Linked DNA regions of Drosophila melanogaster. The protein of the gene in region 1 purifies or fractionates together with the protein of each later gene. This does not show direct contact. Each region holds a gene or a part of one and is shown in the gene's direction. Other genes may lie near its edges. The genes, in order: Glo1, GstO3 and CG10638.

Evidence for each region.
Region 2: the proteins of Glo1 (region 1) and GstO3 purify together in Drosophila melanogaster (affinity purification with mass spectrometry, with the first as the bait; one large-scale study listed by BioGRID). This does not show direct contact.
Region 3: the proteins of Glo1 (region 1) and CG10638 purify together in Drosophila melanogaster (affinity purification with mass spectrometry, with the first as the bait; one large-scale study listed by BioGRID). This does not show direct contact.

The regions. Positions count from the first base shown.
Region 1 is NT_033778.4:7,394,187-7,397,942, reverse strand, and holds the start of Glo1 (glyoxalase 1), read left to right. Parts: upstream 1-2,010; 5' UTR 2,011-2,076; coding exon 2,077-2,148; exon of another isoform or gene 2,149-2,216; coding exon 2,217-2,353; exon of another isoform or gene 2,354-2,425; coding exon 2,426-2,512; exon of another isoform or gene 2,513-2,947; intron 2,948-3,756.
Region 2 is NT_037436.4:8,517,121-8,520,850, forward strand, and holds GstO3 (glutathione S transferase O3), read left to right. Parts: upstream 1-1,764; 5' UTR 1,765-1,833; coding exon 1,834-1,861; intron 1,862-2,391; coding exon 2,392-3,089; 3' UTR 3,090-3,175; downstream 3,176-3,730. Other genes in the region: CG6765 (uncharacterized protein), read left to right, coding at 80-138, 196-297, 352-538; se (sepia), read left to right, coding at 3,470-3,497, 3,554-3,730.
Region 3 is NT_037436.4:12,499,631-12,503,386, reverse strand, and holds the start of CG10638 (uncharacterized protein), read left to right. Parts: upstream 1-2,075; 5' UTR 2,076-2,150; coding exon 2,151-2,222; intron 2,223-2,344; coding exon of another isoform or gene 2,345-2,512; intron 2,513-2,586; coding exon of another isoform or gene 2,587-2,756; intron 2,757-2,832; coding exon of another isoform or gene 2,833-3,175; exon of another isoform or gene 3,176-3,186; intron 3,187-3,234; coding exon of another isoform or gene 3,235-3,414; exon of another isoform or gene 3,415-3,586; intron 3,587-3,617; exon of another isoform or gene 3,618-3,756. Other genes in the region: CG10646 (uncharacterized protein), read left to right, coding at 1-762; CG10681 (uncharacterized protein), read right to left, coding at 912-1,383, 1,440-1,606.

The DNA.
Region 1 (3,756 bases):
TAAGAATGCTGCAAATCAAGAAAATATTTTTAAGTTTTCCAGAAAAAAGTGACCACTCGGATTTTTGCCATTAATTACGCATTTTAATTTAAGCCCTTACTTCTTTTTAATATATTCAGATACCAAAAGCGCAAAGAAACATATTTTAAAAGATATTTTCAAGTGTTATTTTGTTTTCCCTTACTTCGCTCATCTTTGTAGTCAAGCTTACTTTTATCGTTGGCGATTTAGTTAATTTAATGAAAAGTAAAAGCTATCTGAGTTTACGTTTTTTATTAATTTGTTAGCTATATTTATCCCTCTCTTTGTTAGTCACATAATTGTGCGGTATGAAGACATTTGTGTTTTTAGCTCATGTTTTATTTGAATTTATTTGTAGTTTTTTAATTAATTTTAAATTTATACTATTACGATTTTGTTATGAGCTTGCAATAGTTAAACGCAACGAAAGAAAATAAATGTGAAACGAAATAACCGGCCTGGTGAAAGCCATTTTTGTTTATATTTGTATTCACCCCAGAATGTCCAAAGAATTTGTTACACTGGCGAGCAGTAATACTCTACTCACACAAAACACAACTCCTTCCAAAAGTGAGCGTGCACGAAGTCCAGATACACTTACTGAGATAAACACTATTTGATTTGCCAAGCCAACAATGAATTGTATTTATGAAGTACCATCCACGAGAGAAACGACCAATATCTGAGAAAAAGCGAAATGATGATAATACCAATTAATTTTTGTACATGCAAATGCGCCTAGGATTAGAGGGTTTTTTTGGTCTAGAAGGAGTATTTGACACATTCACCGCCAGCACCAACAACAAATTATTAACAAATCAACAGCAACTAAACGACAACAAAATGATTGAGATAATCATGAACACAATATACATATTTAAAGAATCTAGATCTAATTATATAACTAATTATATGTCCGGAAATGCCTAAGATCACAATGAAATCCAGCAAGTAAAATAGTCTAATTGGTAAGCAAATATAAAATATATATTATATACAAAACACGCATGTACACGACTTTATACACAAAGCATATAAGAATATTACTTTCAGTTAAATTAGTTATAATACCGACAACAATCAATTACAAATATTAAATGCTGCGTTTAATTTGGTGGGAATAAAAATAGTAATTATCAGGAAATACTCGGTTTACTAGTACAATCTCACATTTTTTAATAAAGTTTTATATACAACTCGGTAATTTAGTAAATCGTAATAAATCGTGAAAAATGCGGCATGTCAGTTTTAAGCGGTTTAAGGGCATTAGAGTGGGCGTGGCAAAATTTTTTTTGCACATCGATAGAAAATTACAAGACGAATAAAAATCTAAACAATATATCAACAGGTTTTTCAAAAGTGTGGGCGTGGCACTTTTGTGCGGTTTGTGGGCGTGGCAACATGGGTCAACAAACTTGCTCAGCGTCTTTGTCTTTAGAATCTGTATGCTCATTCTTAACTATGCTGAATCTAGCTTTCATAGTTCCGGAGATCTCGACGTTCATACGACTCGTCTATTGATCCTGATCAGGAATATATATAATCTATATAGTCGAAAAAGCTTCCTTCTGCCTGTTACATACTTTTCAACGAATATAGTATACCATTTTACTCTACGGCTATCGGGTATAATAATTGAAAATAATAGTAAGCAAACAACAGTTTCGTTGTTTGAAAGTTAAAATCCATTTTTTTTTTTTTGGATTTTACATGGAGAATATATTATGAGTTGCTTTATTTATTCAATAAGAATAATGTGCAATGGGCACATTATGCTTTATATACTTTGCACTTTAAAGTGAATAATGAGAATTATGCACAGAAATGGATTTCTGGTTTTACACAATATTTCAGAGTAGAGGTGGTTTGATTTCATATAAATGCGAGGGTATAAATTAGTTGGTTCGCAGCCCCACCTTACTTTTTTGGCGATAAAATTGTGTGCACATTTTCGCCGCCCGATGGTACGTTTCACCGGCTGAGCGAGGGTCACACTGGCAATTCCCTCGCGGATTTTATCAACAGGTGGTTGGTTAATTGCCTTAAAGCATCGGAATGGGCGACGTGACAGGACTGAGCAATGCCCAGGCGGACGAGCTGTGCCAGAAGCCGGATTCGTCCACCAAGGTGAGTGGGTTCCAGTCGGGCAGACCGCGCCATCGCGCAACGCAACTAACCCGCTGTCGGCGGCGCAGGACTTCCTCTTCCAGCAAACCATGTACCGCATCAAGGATCCACGCAAGTCGCTGCCTTTCTACACGGGCGTCCTCGGGATGACCTTGCTGGTGAAACTGGACTTCCCCGAGGCCAAGTTCTCGCTGTACTTTCTGGGGTAAGGTCGATTGCTCCGGCTTATCTTAATTTGATATTGATACAATGACAATCGCTTTTGTATCTGGCCCAGGTACGAGAACGCCACCGATGTGCCTAAGGATCCCAAGCAGCGACGCAGCTGGGCGCTGAGCCGCAAGGCCACCATTGAGTTGACCCAGTAAGTGGTTTTCCGTTTGTGCATGCGATTCGCAAGGTTCCATTTGAGTAGGCCCTTCTAATGTCATGACTCTAGGAAAAGGTTATTTGAATAGTCCATAGTGGCGGTACAATACCAATCTTAATATGGATGTAGATATCATCTACAAGGAACACTTCCAACAGAAACTCCTCCGCAATCAGATGGAATTTCATTCAAAGGCATTTTAGAATTGTCATGCGTGTAAAAAAGATAGTTCCATATGGATATTCTATTTTTACATTTCGTAACTCGTTTTTGTAGATATGATAGCTTCAACTACAGCATGCGGCAGCATAATTTCCTTTTTTTTTCAGAACTCAATGAAAATCTATTGTAGGCATCGGAAAATATTTATTTGTTTTTATAATTTAGGTACATGTCTAAAGATTTTATTTATATTTTTTTGAAGATGAAATATGACAGGTGACGTTTCCCATTCTCCATACATTGCGTAAACCGATTTCTGGCGTTTGGGGAAAAGGGGACAGATCGGGAGAGCGTGCCGTCCATTCCAAATCACCTTTAATTGGGATGAGGCGCTCTGAAAGTGTTCCCTCAAAACAGCCATCGATGCTGTATGCGATGGTGTATGCCGTTGCACCTTCTTGTTGAAACCAAGTGTTTACTGTGACCTTTGGTGAAAGCAAAGGCCTTTCATGCAAATATAGAGGGTTGCTGTCAGCCCAGTAGCGCATATTTTTTTTGTTTGTAAACCGACCGACATAAATGAAAATGGGCTTCTGAAAGTTCCTGCACTACGCCATCTTATATGGATGAAATTGAAGATCATCATGCAAAATTCTGCTCACAGAACGATCGGATAGTCAGTCCAAGGGCAGATGCGTGTTTGCGCGCAGAACGCCGCGGAGATCACAATATTGACCCTGTCACTGCTTCAATGTTCTCAGGTGATCTAACTGGGTCGGGGGACTCCAGTTCTTCGTTTTGTCGCACTTGCAGTTTGCCTGAATGTAGTGACCCATGTAAAAATCGATTTGCGGTCTGGGACGGGAGCCAACGGGGCTAAATTAAAGCGATTCCGAAATGCACGCTGCGTTTAAAGACCCGAACATCCGCTTGAAAAGTAGGCCTCATCGGCAAAGGCACGCTCCTCACTATTTCAACGCATGTTGGCGACTGAACCGTGTAGGGACAAAACTTTGCAGTAGCCCCTCTTGAACGTGGCCAGTAGCGTTTCGCTATGATATGAACTAACTGAATGG
Region 2 (3,730 bases), on another chromosome or scaffold:
TGATTTTAACTCGTAGTGATGATCGGTTACCAATATCTATTGGATGTATTAAAACCAGATTATATATTGTGTTTTTCAGCAACAGGAGAACAATATGGATCACGATCACGTAACTCTGCTCTGCGATTTGTGTTCCACGTAAGTGTTTGGAGTTATAGAAGCAAAATATATACTAACTCCCTTTCCCATGTGCAGATCCTTTGATACGCCGGCGGAGTGGGTGCGCCACATGAACAGCCAGCACACGGAGATCGAGTTGGCCATGTTCAACAGCAAGAAGGATGGCGAGCAGAAGGGGTGTGTGTCCTAAGGGCTAGCAAAAGCACACTGATGAACTCTGTTCACTTGCAGCCAGCAGCCACCGCCACCGCCGGCGACCAGCAGCTCTTCCACAGTGTCCAACAGCCAAATGCAGCCAAAGTATCCCAGCTCCACCGCCACCAGATCGACGCACTCCCTCATGCTGCACAAGATGAGCAACAGCGATGCAGTGGCCACAACCACATCTCCTGGAGCATCCACCTCACCGAATGGCTAAGGCCAGCCATAGGGATCAACTTCAAAGAACCATTGGACCATTGGCGAATGAAGCTGAAGGATTCGAAACCGGATGCCCATGGATAAATTTGAAAACAGCCATATTCTTCATTCATTTTCAAAAATCTCAAGTCGTTCCAATAATCAAAAGTGAGATGGATGTTTATATGCAACAGCAAGAACCGTGATCAAAATGCAACCAGTTTGCATATTTTATAGAGCAACAAACAAAATACAAATTGCGAACAAAAAAAAATTAACGAAACTATAAACGAAACTTAGAATGGAAATCGTCAGGCAACGATGCAAAACAAGACAAAGCAAGAAATTCAGAAACGAAAGCAAAGCAACATTTAACTCCAGTGTGTAGAATTTTTTTAAGTGTACGTATTTACTTAGTTTTAGCTATTTATCCCATGTATTTACCGTAACAACAACGCGCAATTGATTCGGGAAAAAAAACGATACAGTTTAATCATTAAATTTTAATGTTTACCATTTGCGGACATTTTTAAAATGAATTAAAAACTAAAAATTAATCATCCACTTGAGTTTTCAAAAGGATGCATCAAAAGAAATCCCATTTGTAGGACCAAAAGCAGCGAAAGGATCTTTTTACATTTTGATAAACAATTAATTCCAGCAGCAAGTGTAGTTGTCATTATTTATTACTTTCCAATTTGGTTTTTCGAATGCAATTACTGATAACAACTATTTATCGCGACTCAATGATGTCAGCAACTCTGTTGTATATGTATTAATACTTTTTTGTATTTTTTGTAAGGCATGAACGGAAATTTCGAGAACTTTTTTGTACATAGATTAAGTTTGATTTCGAAAGTCCGCCGATCGAAACTTTTTACGAAAAGTTCATAAACTTAAAACTCTAAATGTACGTAGTAGTTCCGAGGTTCAATTAAAAACAAAAATAAAGCTCCCCCCAAACCATGTAAAAACAAAATATATCTATATTTACAAACAGGCGTGATTATTAACAAACTAAGTAGATGTACTATGTATAATGCGGAGGAAATGATTGTCTCTTCCCACAAAACAAATCGCAAATGTAGTAAAGCGTTTTAAATCGAAATAAACGTCTGCGATGAGAAATCGTTTTTAAAAGCTAACGAAAACTAAGAGTCACGTCGCAAAAAGCTCGATTATTCTTATTCGCGTTAAAACACAAACAAAAAACTTTATATAAACAGAGCGCCGTCGAAGAGAAAACTCAGTTCGCATTTCACCGTCGACATTTCAACAGTTAAGCGAATTTGTTCAGTTCTGCAATTAAACAAAATGAGTTCTGGTAAACATTTGGCCAAAGGTAAGAGAGCAAGCAAAACCAGTTGTCGCCGCCGCCAAGAGAAACGCCCATGTCATTAGAGTGTTTATAGTATTATTTATAAAACAAGTTCTCCAACATTCAGCGTAATTATCGAATAACGATTTTTATATTTCATAATGTTAAAGAATATTGGCATGAATAACTGGGATTTTTTGGTTAAAAAGTTAGAAAGGTATATTATTTGGTAAATTTCAATACGATCTTTATTCTTTTACAATTGTAGGTAATGCATTAAATTAATTATTTGATTTGTAAAATTTACTTACATTTTTAGCTATAGCTTTCACCCCGATATCAGATAACCCATAATATTTACACTCTAAAAGATAACGTAGCTACAAAATTTGAGCTTTATCACGACTGGGCCCTATCAACATTAACTTAAGTGCAATGACTTGCTAAACAAATAATAATACAGGGGTGGATTTTAGGGTTCCACAAGTGACTCATGAAGTTATTGATTTATTTGTATAACCTAAATTTAACTGGTAAATAAATTCTATCTTTAGGTTCCCCCAAGCCTGTACTCCCTGACGATGGAGTCCTTCGCCTGTACTCCATGAGGTTCTGTCCCTACGCTCAGCGGGCTCATCTCGTCCTGAACGCCAAGAATGTGCCCTATCACAGTGTCTACATCAATCTCACCGAGAAACCAGAGTGGCTGGTGGAAGTGAGTCCGTTGCTTAAGGTGCCTGCCCTGCAGCTGGTGGCGGAGAAGGGTGAGCCCTCGCTCATCGAGTCGCTGATTATTGCCGAGTATCTGGACGATAAGTACCCGGAGAATCCGTTGCTGCCCAAGGACCCATTGAAGCGGGCACAGGACAAGATTCTGCTGGAACGTTTCAGCAGCATCACCAGTGCCTTCATAAACATCCTTGTGCAGGGCACCGGTCTGGAGGATTACTGGACGGCACTTGATATCTTTGAGGAGGAGTTGACCAAGCGGGGCACCCCATATTTTGGCGGCAACAAGCCGGGATTCGTGGACTACATGATCTGGCCCTGGTTCGAACGCCTCTCTGTAATCGAGTTGAAGTTGCAGAAGGAGTACAACTTCAACGAGAGTCGTTTCCCGAAGATCACCAAGTGGATTGCCCTCCTGAAGGCGGACTCGGTGGTGCAGTCCTTCTATGCCACTCCCGAGCAGCACAACGAGTTCTGGCGCACCCGCAAGGCCGGCAATGCAAACTACGATCTGCTGGCTTAGATCGGTACTGAAAATGAAACTATTATATAACAAAGGAGATTTAATAATGTTCTAAAAACAATAAAAACTAAAATATTTTATGTGACAAAGAAATGAATTAAGGCTAGAAAGGCAAGAATTCCGTTCCAGATTCACAGAACGTGGTTCGAAAAACTTAGTTCTTAAAAAGTTTTGTTTTAAACAAATATTTTGGAGCAATATGCAGGTTGCAAGGGGGCTTCACTGTATCCACATGGCTTGGTATGTGTGTCAGCCGCAAGCCACCAAGTTCAGCCGCGTAAGCGAAGCCAACCGGCGAAGGGCAGTGAGCTGCACTTTATAAATCACTCGAATGACAATCGCTATCACCACTTGCATCTCTGGACCCGAGCACGCACATCATGAGTAACGGCAGGCATTTGGCAAAAGGTGGGTAGAGCCAGGAAACCAGGATAATCATAATTGATAATAAATGCGCCCACTAGGCTCACCCATGCCGGATGTTCCCGAAGATGGTATCCTTCGCCTGTACTCGATGCGCTTCTGCCCATTTGCCCAACGGGTGCATCTGGTCCTGGACGCCAAGCAGATCCCGTATCACAGCATCTACATTAATCTCACAGACAAGCCGGAGTGGCTGCTGGAGAAGAATCCACAGGGCA
Region 3 (3,756 bases), on another chromosome or scaffold:
GAACGTGTGAAGACCATCGAATTCCATCCCAACCAGGACACACTCGCCTGTGTGGTGGACAACAAGGTGGCTGTGATGCAGCGGGCCGAGTCCTCTACTCGCGTGGTGGCCGAGGTGCCGGCCAGTGGTTCATCCAGTGGATCTGCAAAGCACACACAGCATTTCACCAGCGGCAAGTGGTCGCATCATCATCAGGGCCACCAGTTTCTCACCCTCCAGGATGGCAATCTAAGTGCCTACGATGTGCGGGATACACAGCATTGTGCCTGGAGCATCAACGATGCGCATGGTCAAATGGTCCGTGACCTGGACTGCAATCCCAACAAGCAGTGCCATTTGGTCACCGGCGGTGACGATGGCTACTTGAGGATCTGGGACTGTCGCATGCCCAAGGCTCCCGTTTTCGAGCGCTCCGATCATTCGCATTGGGTCTGGTGCGTTCGCTTCAACACATTCCACGACCAACTGATCCTCTCCAGCTCCAGTGACTGCAAGGTGCTGCTCACGTGTGCGGGATCGGTTAGTTCGGAGACGCAGGTTCAGGCTGGACTAGATGAGTCCAACTTCAGTGGTGCCGATGCCGAGGAGAGGCACAAACTCTTGCCAGATGGTCTGCTGCAGACCTTCGATCAGCACGAGGACTCCGTTTACTGCGCGGAGTGGAGCAATGTGGATCCGTGGATCTTTGCTTCGCTCAGCTACGATGGTCGCGTCATAATCTCAAAGGTGCCCAAGCAGTACAAGTACCAGATTATATTTTAAGCCATTAGTTTCTTAAATTATTACGCATATTTCATTTAAATCTAACTAAACGAATTGTGTCCTTGTATGTAGTAGCAGGTTATACAAATATTAAACCAATAAGTTATTATATGAAGATAAATATATCGAGGGACTAAAGCTAATTAGGCTTAACCTGTATCCTCGGATGTGCAGTCGGAGGAATCATTGGGATTGGCAGTTTCCACGGAACAAACTCGCTTGATCAGCTCGTTTTCGATCTCCACAGTGCCATTGTCCACTGCCTCCTCCATCTGCACGTACTCTATGGTGGCGGCACTTTTCTTGGTGGATAGGACAGGTTTTGCGGCAGCAGGAGCAGGTGTTTCTGCAGTCTTTTTAGCCTGGGCTTCCGTATCATCCTCGGCTTCCTCAGCCAAACTGCTACGCTGCGGCTGAACTTCGGCGTAAATGGCGGGAAACTGCGACTGTAGCTTCTGCTTGATGATCCGTATCTTGCGGAATATGTAATCCAGATCCTTCTTCATTTCGCTCAGGCATTTCACGTGTCTTTTGAAATCCTCGCTGGCACTTTTCAAACGACTCTGCGATAAGGCATTGCAGTTGAGCAGCATCTCGTTGGTTTTCTCAAAGCGTTGCAGCCTGTGGGATATATTTTGGATGTTTATTATAATCTCTGGTTAAATGAAATGGCTTACATTTGCTTTTGAGCCCGTATCATGGTCTCCACATCGCCCTGATTCACCATTCCTGCGAGACTTTGAATGAAGGCCTCGGCGGCGGAGTTGCCGAAGCCAGTGAAGGATTCCAGGTCAGGAGTGGCATCCTCGGACTGGTGCACATCCGCAAGGCCCAAGTGGCTCATTGTAGCCTAGAATTTATTTGTTTATAATAAGGGAGAACACAAAAATTGATTTGTTTACTTGCTTTTCAAGGTCTCAAGGTTTCTTTGCGACAACTTGAACTCTGCTTTGTGTGCGTTTGCTGGCAGTTTTAGTTTTTTCTATTTTTATTTACGTTTTCAAATGGATCTCATGTTTCCATCTATTTTAAAAGTTCTTTTGTTTAGATTTCTTAAAAAAAAAGATATTTTCGTAACAGCTGTTTAAGTACTAGTTATAAACCAGTGCTGCAAGCTGCCAAAATGCAAAAGCACTGCCGTAATTAAATTTGAACATTTTACTTTTTAACATAAAATTAACACTGTTTTATGACAACATTTGTTCCTATTTAATATAAATCAAAGTTTCTTTAGCTATTTAAACACTTAAAAATATTTAAATAATAAAGCTTAGCAGAATGGCATTGGGTATTTTTACGCAAAGCCGTTTTGGTCACACTATGCTCACCGGCTTTTTTTTTATTAAGCGATTGAATTTCCTTATTTATTCTTGATTTAAACGTGCAAAATGAAGCTCGCTCCGACTGTTAAGCTAAACAATGGCTACGAGATGCCAATTCTGGGCCTAGGAACCTACAATGTAAGTCCTTATCATCGGCGATGCTAATAAATCAGCAGGCAGAAATTGTTTATGGAAATTTCTACCATTCAATTCCAATTAAGTGCAATTGTGAAATTGAAAGTTAATTATGTTATCTGTAGTTAAAGAAGTCTCGCTGTGAGGCTGCCGTGTGCCACGCCCTCGAAATGGGCTATCGGCATATAGACACCGCATATCTGTACAGGAATGAAGGCATTATAGGCAAGGTTTTAGCTAAACTTATTGGCGACCAGAAACTGAAACGCGAACAGGTGTTTCTGGTCACAAAGGTAGGATATAGTACAGATGGGTTATATATAGTTACCAGCACATGTAAATAGATCGAAAATCAATATCCAATTAGCTGTGGGACATATACCACGAACCCAAGATGGTGAAATACGCCTGTGATATGCAATTAAAGCTACTGGGCGTGGACTATATAGATCTATATCTGATGCATTCGCCGGTGGGCGTGGACTACATCTCTGATGAAGATCTGATGCCCCACGAGAATGGCCAGCTGAGGACCAAGTGAGTTTGGGATACAACTAAACATACATAGTTTAGATTCAAGAAGCTTAAAGAAACTGATCTTTGGAACTTATAGCGATGTGGACTATGTGGACACCTACAGAAGTATGGAGCAACTGGTGCATCTGGGGCTGGTGCGCAGCTTGGGATTGTCCAACTTTAATGCCAATCAGCTGAAGAGATTACTGGAAAACTGCCAAATCAAGCCGGCAAACCTACAAATAGAATGTCATCCGGAATTGGTGCAAGTCCCATTAATTGAGCTCTGTAAATTTCACAATATCACCGTGGTTGCCTATTCGCCACTGGGGCGTCCCAAAGCCTGCAATCCGCTGCCCGATTACTACACTGATTCCAAGCTACTGGCGTTGGCAGCGAAATACGGCAAGACACCAGCTCAAATCATCCTAAGATACTTGGTATAAACGACCTTAGAATTGTAAAGTGATAAAGATATTTATTGGCTAAAAATCTACAGATCGATATTGGCACGGTACCTATTCCAAAAGCTGCCCAGCGAGCCCATCTCGTAGAGAATCTGGATATATTTGATTTCCACCTAACGCCGGAGGAGTTGCTCCAAATGAAGACCTTTAATACAGGGCGCAGAATCTGGAAATTCGATAAAGCGAAGAATCATCAGTACTATCCGTACTAGCAAGAGATATTTAGTGTTCGGAAAAAAAGTGTAACTATGTAAATGTATAAGATAGAATCTCGTTAGATAGTTTAGTTTTTACGTTAGTTTTTTTTTAGTACAATATTACAATGTTATAAAATGTCATCATATCAATCGTTATCATATATAAATATACTATATTTTGTGCTAGATATGATCCTATTAACATTTTAAGTGCTCACCTGGGGAAATAATTATTTGTATCTCTCTAAATGTCTCTATCAAAGTTTATCGAATCTTTCGTGTGCCTTGCGACGTTGATCAGTTGTATAATTTCGGATATTGTTTCGATTTGTCAATTCGCGGCTCTCCGATATGCTC